Lepisosteus oculatus: one gene and its partner. The protein of the gene in region 1 binds, or shares a complex with, the protein of each later gene. Links are inferred from orthologs where the notes say so. Each region holds a gene or a part of one and is shown on either strand. Other genes may lie near its edges.

Region 1 (3,750 bases):
CTGGACTGTTTCTTCACAAAACCCCAAACCAGCATGACACCCAGAACCCATAAATAATTCTAGTAACTCTATTTAGTGCTCATTAAGGGAAATCCACGTAGTGCTGGCAAGCTGTACAGCTCTCTCACCCCCACTGTGCGATGTAGACGGGCTCGATGACCCAGGGGATCTCGTTGACAAAGGAGATGGCCCCAGTGATGTGGTACAACACAGGCACGTCCCGGATCTGCTCCCAGGGCATGGGCATGTTCTCCAGCAGCTTCAGGACAGCATGGGGCATGTACTTCAGGGCGCTGGGCAGCACAGACACGGGACATCAGGGACAAAGCCATTTTATACCTTCCATTACACAAGCAGGCCCCTGTCTAAGGTACCCGAGGTCAATGTGGAATTGAATCCACAAGTAAGAAAAGATTAACAAATGAATAGGATTTCACACCATGCAGAAAATGTCTGATCTTCAAAACCTTTCAAGATCCTCATTACACTTGTGCACATAGTATAGCAATTTTACAATTCCAACACAATATTCCAGTTTATATTCCAAAGGAGTACACACTTCAAGACATACAGATCATTGGGGGGAGGGGGGTAACCTTCAGGGGAATCAGGGTTATGAGCCCCAAAGACAGCACTGCTGGAAAGATGTGCAGCCCCGAGTGTTGCCTTACCCCAGATACACTCTCTTGTCATGGCGGAACTTCCTGTTGGTCATGTCGCCGTGGTCGCGGATGATCTTGCGGACGTGCTCGGGGGGCATGTCCTCCTTCTGGGCGTCCACGAAGCCGAACTTCCTCTTCTCCGCGTAGCGCTTCGCCTGCAGCTGCTGCCATTTCCGAGCTGCGGCAGGGAACACAACGGGGTGTCTTGTCAACCAGCTGCATTTGCACCCCCTTGCGGGACGCCAGGGGCAATATTACTGCTGTTACCAACAGTGCCGTGGGATCTTAAAGAATAACTGATAACTCCTTACACTGCAGTAGAGCTTTACTGGACACGACACTCAAAACGCTTTAAGGGGTAATGGGGATCCCCTCCACCCCCACCAGTGTGCAGCCCCACCTGGATGATGTGACGGCAGCCATAGTGCACCAGTCTGCTCGTCACACACCAGCTCTCAGTGGGGAGGAGACCAGAGTGATGAAGCCAGTTCAGAGATGGGATTAGGAGGCCATGATTGGTAAAGGCCAATGGGAAATTTGGCCAGGACACTGGGGTAACACTGCTACTTTTTCCTAGAAATACCCTGGGATTTTTAATGACCACAGAGAGTTTTAAGTCCCACCCGAAAGAAAGTGCCTTTTTACAGTTTAGTGTCCCCATCACTATACTGGGGCATTAGCACTCACACGGACCACACCCCTACTGGCCCCATTAACACCTCTTCCAGCAGCGACCTTAGCTTTCCCAGGAGGTCTCCCATCCAGGTACTGCCCAGTCCAGTGGGCTGCCAGCTGTGAGTTGCAGGGCAATATGGCTCCTGGCCAATGGAGCAGTACAGATCTCCAGGCACCACAGTGGGGAGGGCTGGCTTGGACATGCTGGGCTTATAGTTAAGAGCACTGGTCCACCACCACCACCACCACTTACAACAGCAGCAGCCCGGTTTTCTCTCAAGGTCTCCAAACCCAACAAAAACAGCACAGATAAACCGCACTCTGCTTGAGAGCTGGCAAGATCGCCCTAACTACTGTCCGACACACGCTGGCTTTTCACGCGTCAGGTTCGAGCGAGAGTGTTTACGTCTGCCGTTCAAGCAGTTGATCCAAACCCTCAACTCAGACACGGCCCTTTTCCGAGCCACACTAACACAGGGTGTCTCCTCCAGTGTCCCCCCTCGCTCACCTTTCTCCTGCAGCTTCTCTTCAGACATGTAGTCCGGCACCTGGCCCGGAGTGGGAATCGTCCCTGGTGCTGCTCGGTACGGAAAAGCAGCAGCAGCCATGGTGACGCCAACCTGAAACCGGGCAAACAACAGCGATGTTAGCTCCTGCTCTCCGTGTGGCGTGTACGCGGCTCGGTGTAACTTCTAAAACGCGCAAAAACGTGTTCACGGGAAATAAACATCGAGCTCCCCCGCCAAAACAGCATATTCTAGATCAACCGAGGCAGTGGCAACACTTACGCCAGGAAGTCGCTGTAATTTGTAAACAGTTCGATCACCGATTGTCTGGATTACAAAATCCATGGGCGATCATATTGCGTACATACCGACATTCGTCTTTATTATGACCCCCACGGGGGAAAAACAAACTACACGAAAAATAAAATCGGATTACACGACAACACGACCAGCTCACAAGTTTGCGCCACAGTCTAGGCCAAATAAAGCGCAGCTCCTGCAACTTTTCCAATCGCTGCAAAACTGCTCTTTCATCACCAGTGTTACCTACCTCAGGTCCACGGCACTTTATTTATATGTAAAATCCGTCCCTATGCAATCTCTAGATCATTCCTTTAAACGATATTTTATTCAAATCCGTCCACAGCTTTCTCCGCTGCTAAACATCCACCAGGCACAATGGCGCAGACTAACGCAGACCGCACGATGCCAAACTACGAAAGTATTCGCGAAGAACACTTACGTTTTTTCCGTAGCTCTTGTGCTGTGTTTGCAATAGAATACCCGATAGCAACCAACGCCAAAAGCGTAAGCGTTAATGCGTGACCTTTTGTACAAAGCCCCGGATGTTTACCCGGAAAATGATTTAGACTACATTTTATTGGCGGGTATAATTATCCAATCAGTGAGGTAGGAGGTGGGCTAGAGAGAATGATAGGAACCATCGAGATTTCAAACAAGGATATACGTCACTATGCAGTTCGTTGAATCGCCATCTTTGTAGAGTGTACGCTTTAGAGCGTATTATTATAGTAAATAAACAGTAAACATTTTCCCAGCATCGTCAATCTCCCTCTCCACCCCAATAATTAAAAGTGTCAATTGTTTTTCCCTACATCTGGAAAAAAAACATTATACAAGAAAAATTAAATTGATTGAAATCATCTGAAGAGGGTGGTGCCCAAATGATAGACATTGATATCATGAATGGTACCCTAACGATAAAATGGTTGCGTTCTTTTATGAATAATAAAGACAGCTTCAGGTTTGCTATTCCTAGGAAAGTAATGGGAAAAATAGGAGGCTTTGACCTCTTGCTGAGATGTGACTTTGACATAAACACGCTCCCAGTCAGACTTTTTGTTTTTCATCAACAAGTACTGTTATATTGGAAATGATCATATAACCATAACTTCACCCCTCATAATGCTGTTATATGGAACAACAGATATATCTGGCAAAAAAAGAGCATATTTTATGAATCCTGGTTAAATAAAGGTATTTGGTCAGTCGTGCATCTATTGGAGAAGGCTAATGGAGAAGTTAATAAATTTTGTGATTTTGTTAAAAATATGACATTTATATGACAATTATAGATGCAATTCCACCAGATGTTCTGACTTTGGTAAAAAAAAAATCCACATTCCATAGTAATATAATTCCCCTACTACCTGAGATCAAAATTGGTACCTACAATATTTTAGAAAAACGTGCAATAATAAATACACCCAGACAATTATGGCAGATAGATTCTACCCTCAAGGAGAAAGTAATTTTTAATTAAAGAGACTATTATTCTCTTATGTCTGCTAGAATCCAGGTGGGGCTGCACACTGGTGGTGGTGGAGGGGATCCCCATTACCTGTAAAGAGCTTTGGGTGGACTGTCCAGAAAAGTGCTATATGAGT
Region 2 (3,750 bases), on another chromosome or scaffold:
TGACGGTGCTGCTACTCCGAGACAGAGAGGGGCTACACGGTCGGGGGCGATATGAATTCTTTTATGTCTCCACAGCTGAGCTTCCAGTGCGCTTCCAATCAAAGCCTCCGACAGCAATCAGCAGTGTTATATTAACAGCAGCCAGCCCAACCTGAGACACCCAGACAGGCTGCACTACATGTACAATCAGCACATCCTGCAACAATGCGCACAACAGTTCTCACGAGAAGATATAAAACAAGAGTTTTCTAGATGAAAAGTATTTAGTGTGCAGGTTAAGTATAACACAACCTGCTACTCTCTCATGCTGCAGTGCATCTAGAAGCAGGATTAGATGCCACTGAGGAGTGTAAACACCCTAGTTTCTCACCTGGGTAGGGAGTATCGGGCCAACCACAGACGGGCCTCCTTCAGACTGCCTGGGCCCTCATGGTACCAGGTCTGCTGGAACTGAGAACATGAGAGACAGAGAGGGAGGTTATTCAGACTAAAGAGCAGAGAGTGAAAAGAATAAAAGAATCCTGTCCTGCCCAGCTGCTCCTGTACCTCGTCCTGCGACCGCTTGGATTTGTCGTCCTCCTTCTTGGACTTCTTCAGAGCGTCAGTTCCCACCACCGACAGGATGTTCCGCAGCCTGGAGGAGAGAGGAGGCTTCAGCTCAGCCGTGATCTCTGGGGCTACGCTCCCCGCAGACTGGCACCACCGTCACTGCGCCCCCCTCGGCTGACCTCTGCCCTGCTGCACCCACCTCTCCCGGCGCTCGGCGGGCCCCTCCCCGAACAGCGTGATGGGCTCCCCCAGGGCGCGCAGGCAGGCCTTCACCTCCGCGTCATCAGTGGAGACGTTGATCTGCCGAGCACGCTTCCTGCGCTCAAACTCTGCCAGGACTTCTGCCTGACGTTCATTCACCCGCTCCTCCAGCTCCATAGACTCGCCTGAACACAGACAGGGCACCGTTCAGCGCCGGGCACACAGGCGGGGCCCCGCTCGGGGCGCTGGCACACAGGCGGGGCCCCGCTCGGGGCGCTGGCACAGACAGCCGACAGCGTCAGTGACACGCGGTAGCTACAGGCCCCGGCCCAGTGGGGGCTGTGCTGTGTGCTGTAGGCCTGAACTGCGCACTGACCGCTGCAGATGTTGATGTTGCCGGCCTCGATGCCGGCCTTCAGGGCCTCCCTGCTGGCGCCGCGCGCATCGCCCCGGCCCAGGCGCTCGCGCTCGCGCTCCTCCAGGCTGCCATAGAAGATGCGCGACTTCTTCACCGCGGGCACGTCCTCCTCGTCCGACATCGTGCTCGAGCCACTGGACCGCTTACTGGACACAGGGAGAAGGAAGAGAGTCGAGAGCACGTCTCCCCAAACTCCTGGACAGCACCCTCCGCACGGCACACAGCGGGGTCCGGATCACAGCTACACAAACACACAGACGCACAAACACACTTTCACCCAGGACAGGCGAGAAGGGTCCCCAGGCCGGAGGTGTCCTCTGTGTGAACACTGAGAACAGGGCACTGGGAGTCAGCAGGTCTGTGGTCACCTGTAACATCGCTGTCGACCCAAGAGTCATGAAATACCTTTCACATGAGACTTATCAGGACAAAATACTGACCTGTAACATCACATCACATTTTCTGTCCACTATTAACAAATGAGAGGATGTAAAGCAGCAAAATGAACGGGTTTTGTGCTGTTATAGGTGTTTAGGGTGACAGTGGCCGCGTAAACTCACAGGTCCACAGGTCCTGTAGCAAGGGTGTGTAAGGACTATGCACAGCATGAGTCGATGCGTTTAATATAACGTTGTTTATTTTGAGTATAGTTGATTTGTACTGTTAATGTATTTTTTAAGTGCGTGTAAAACATAACTGCTTGGATTTAAATCAAGTTTCTAAGAAATCAGAAAGTCTTATAGTTAACTATGTTAAACGGCAGTGGGAGCCAGACTGCAAACAAGGCAGCAAAGGTTAATAACTGTCGGCCCAGAGACATCAAGACCGATCGCATTAGTTTTCACGTTCAGCCAAATTAAACGTTGAATTCCTTAAGAAATGTAATAAAAGTAAGTCTACTTTCCCATAGAATCACAAACAGGCAGCGCAACGAGGAAACAGGACGAATTCAAATATTTCTACGCAACTCTGAGGATATCACGAAGAGAGGAGAAGCTACTTGAAGAAAAGTCACATCATTACTGTGTCCAGGAGCGGTGTTTCCGAACAGCAGTGCGACAGATATCAGCGCTGAGACGGAGCAGCAGATCTGAGGACTTAAACACGTGTGCAACCCTGCAGACCTGACCCCAGCTCTGCTCCAGGAACCGTGGACCCCACACACACTGCGGAAACTGCCAATTAATCGCTTCTATTATGAAAATGTATTGAAGTTACAAATACCTGAACTCCTAGACGAAACCACCGCGATGCTGGCGAGAGGAAGCGAGTATTGCACGAGCGCTCTCCAGTGGCAGGCGGACAAACCGATACCGGAGCCGGAAATTGCGTCACTGGTTGTAGTAGCAACCCATTCCGGACGGACAGCGCGTTCTGTCGGCCGGGAGGCCTAATAGACTTAAGGAATGTATTTCAAAACATATTTTTCCAACTAAATGTAAAATTCACCCATCGGTTAGTCTCACATATATTACAGAAGATATATCTATCACTTGAGATGGTGCATTGTTCTGACACATCATGTGCCCCAATATGAACCGCTAACTCATGAAACAAGGGGCTCACTGTAGTCCTATCTGGGAGATGTAGTTCATTGTACAAAGGAAGCAATCTGGATTAAGTCTCATTAGACTACAAATCCCATCTACAGGGGGTGCGCTTCCTTTTGTGGTTCACCGTTCATTTCAGCGGGGTCTATATACAATATAGGAGGTATGTGGGGTTTAGGACTACTTTACGTCCATTATTTACTGTATGTTTGCAATAAGAAGAAGTCCCAATTCCTGTAAATGTGTTTATTCCGTGCCTGGCGGCCTGTGAAGGAACACTTGTAATTTGAAGTTTCGAAACTTGGTTGACTGTTGCTGTTGTCCTCCAGACCTGCTTCTGCAGCCGGGCCGCTGGCAGCCTCTTCACCGCACGAATGACGACGCCCGGCTGCCTTTCTCATTTTGTCTTTATTTTGTTTTCAGCAGCAACGCCGGTTCGTCCGGGACGAGTGAGCGCAGGCTGGTCGGTCCGCGGAGAGCGCCGTGCGAGAGCTAGGTACCTCGGTTTGAGCTGCCTCGTCAGATATTCCCACCTGTAGCAAAGTATTATCTCAGTTAATGAATGTTACGAACACTTGGTTTTATTATATTTAGAGGCTAAGATTAATGCAAGTGCTGCCCCTTATAGGCACCGATGTTTATACGTTAGCGAGGCAGTATGCAGGATAGGCCGGCTAATTACTGAGTTCTGAACAGCACAGTTTGATAACTGTTAAAATCCTACCCTAGGTATAATATATTCTGAAATTATTAAAGGATTAATAAAGTAGTTTTGAAAGCAATAAAGTGCATTAAAGTAATAAGATAAGATCACTTTATTGGCCATATACAATTTCTTGCATCAGGAATTTGTCTTTTTGCATACCACAGCTTGCTCTCCATGAGACACACAGACAGGGAGAGAAGCTGGGGGTCAGAGCGCAGGGTCAGCCATTTATACGGCGCCCCTGGAGCAGCTGGGGCCTTGCTCCAGGGGCCTTGCTCAGGGGCCCAATGAAGTAGGATTCCTCTGCGGGCCGCTGGATACGAACC

What was found. Proteins that work in one complex are often made in the same cells at the same time.
Region 2: prpf8 (region 1) and prpf4 share a complex: the UniProt entries of both Homo sapiens proteins name them as parts of the U4/U6-U5 tri-snRNP complex. The link is inferred for Lepisosteus oculatus from reciprocal best matches to the Homo sapiens genes PRPF8 and PRPF4.

The regions. Positions count from the first base shown.
Region 1 is NC_090721.1:8,662,503-8,666,252, reverse strand, and holds the start of prpf8 (pre-mRNA-processing-splicing factor 8), read right to left. Parts: upstream 2,542-3,750; 5' UTR 2,394-2,541; intron 1,958-2,393; 5' UTR 1,946-1,957; coding exon 1,846-1,945; intron 841-1,845; coding exon 672-840; intron 294-671; coding exon 129-293; intron 1-128. UniProt on the Homo sapiens protein: Plays a role in pre-mRNA splicing as core component of precatalytic, catalytic and postcatalytic spliceosomal complexes, both of the predominant U2-type spliceosome and the minor U12-type spliceosome.
Region 2 is NC_090719.1:270,841-274,590, reverse strand, and holds the start of prpf4 (U4/U6 small nuclear ribonucleoprotein Prp4), read right to left. Parts: upstream 2,477-3,750; 5' UTR 2,393-2,476; intron 2,336-2,392; exon of another isoform or gene 2,192-2,335; intron 1,410-2,191; exon of another isoform or gene 1,315-1,409; 5' UTR 1,290-1,314; coding exon 1,127-1,289; intron 936-1,126; coding exon 749-935; intron 635-748; coding exon 547-634; intron 451-546; coding exon 371-450; intron 1-370. UniProt on the Homo sapiens protein: Plays a role in pre-mRNA splicing as component of the U4/U6-U5 tri-snRNP complex that is involved in spliceosome assembly, and as component of the precatalytic spliceosome (spliceosome B complex).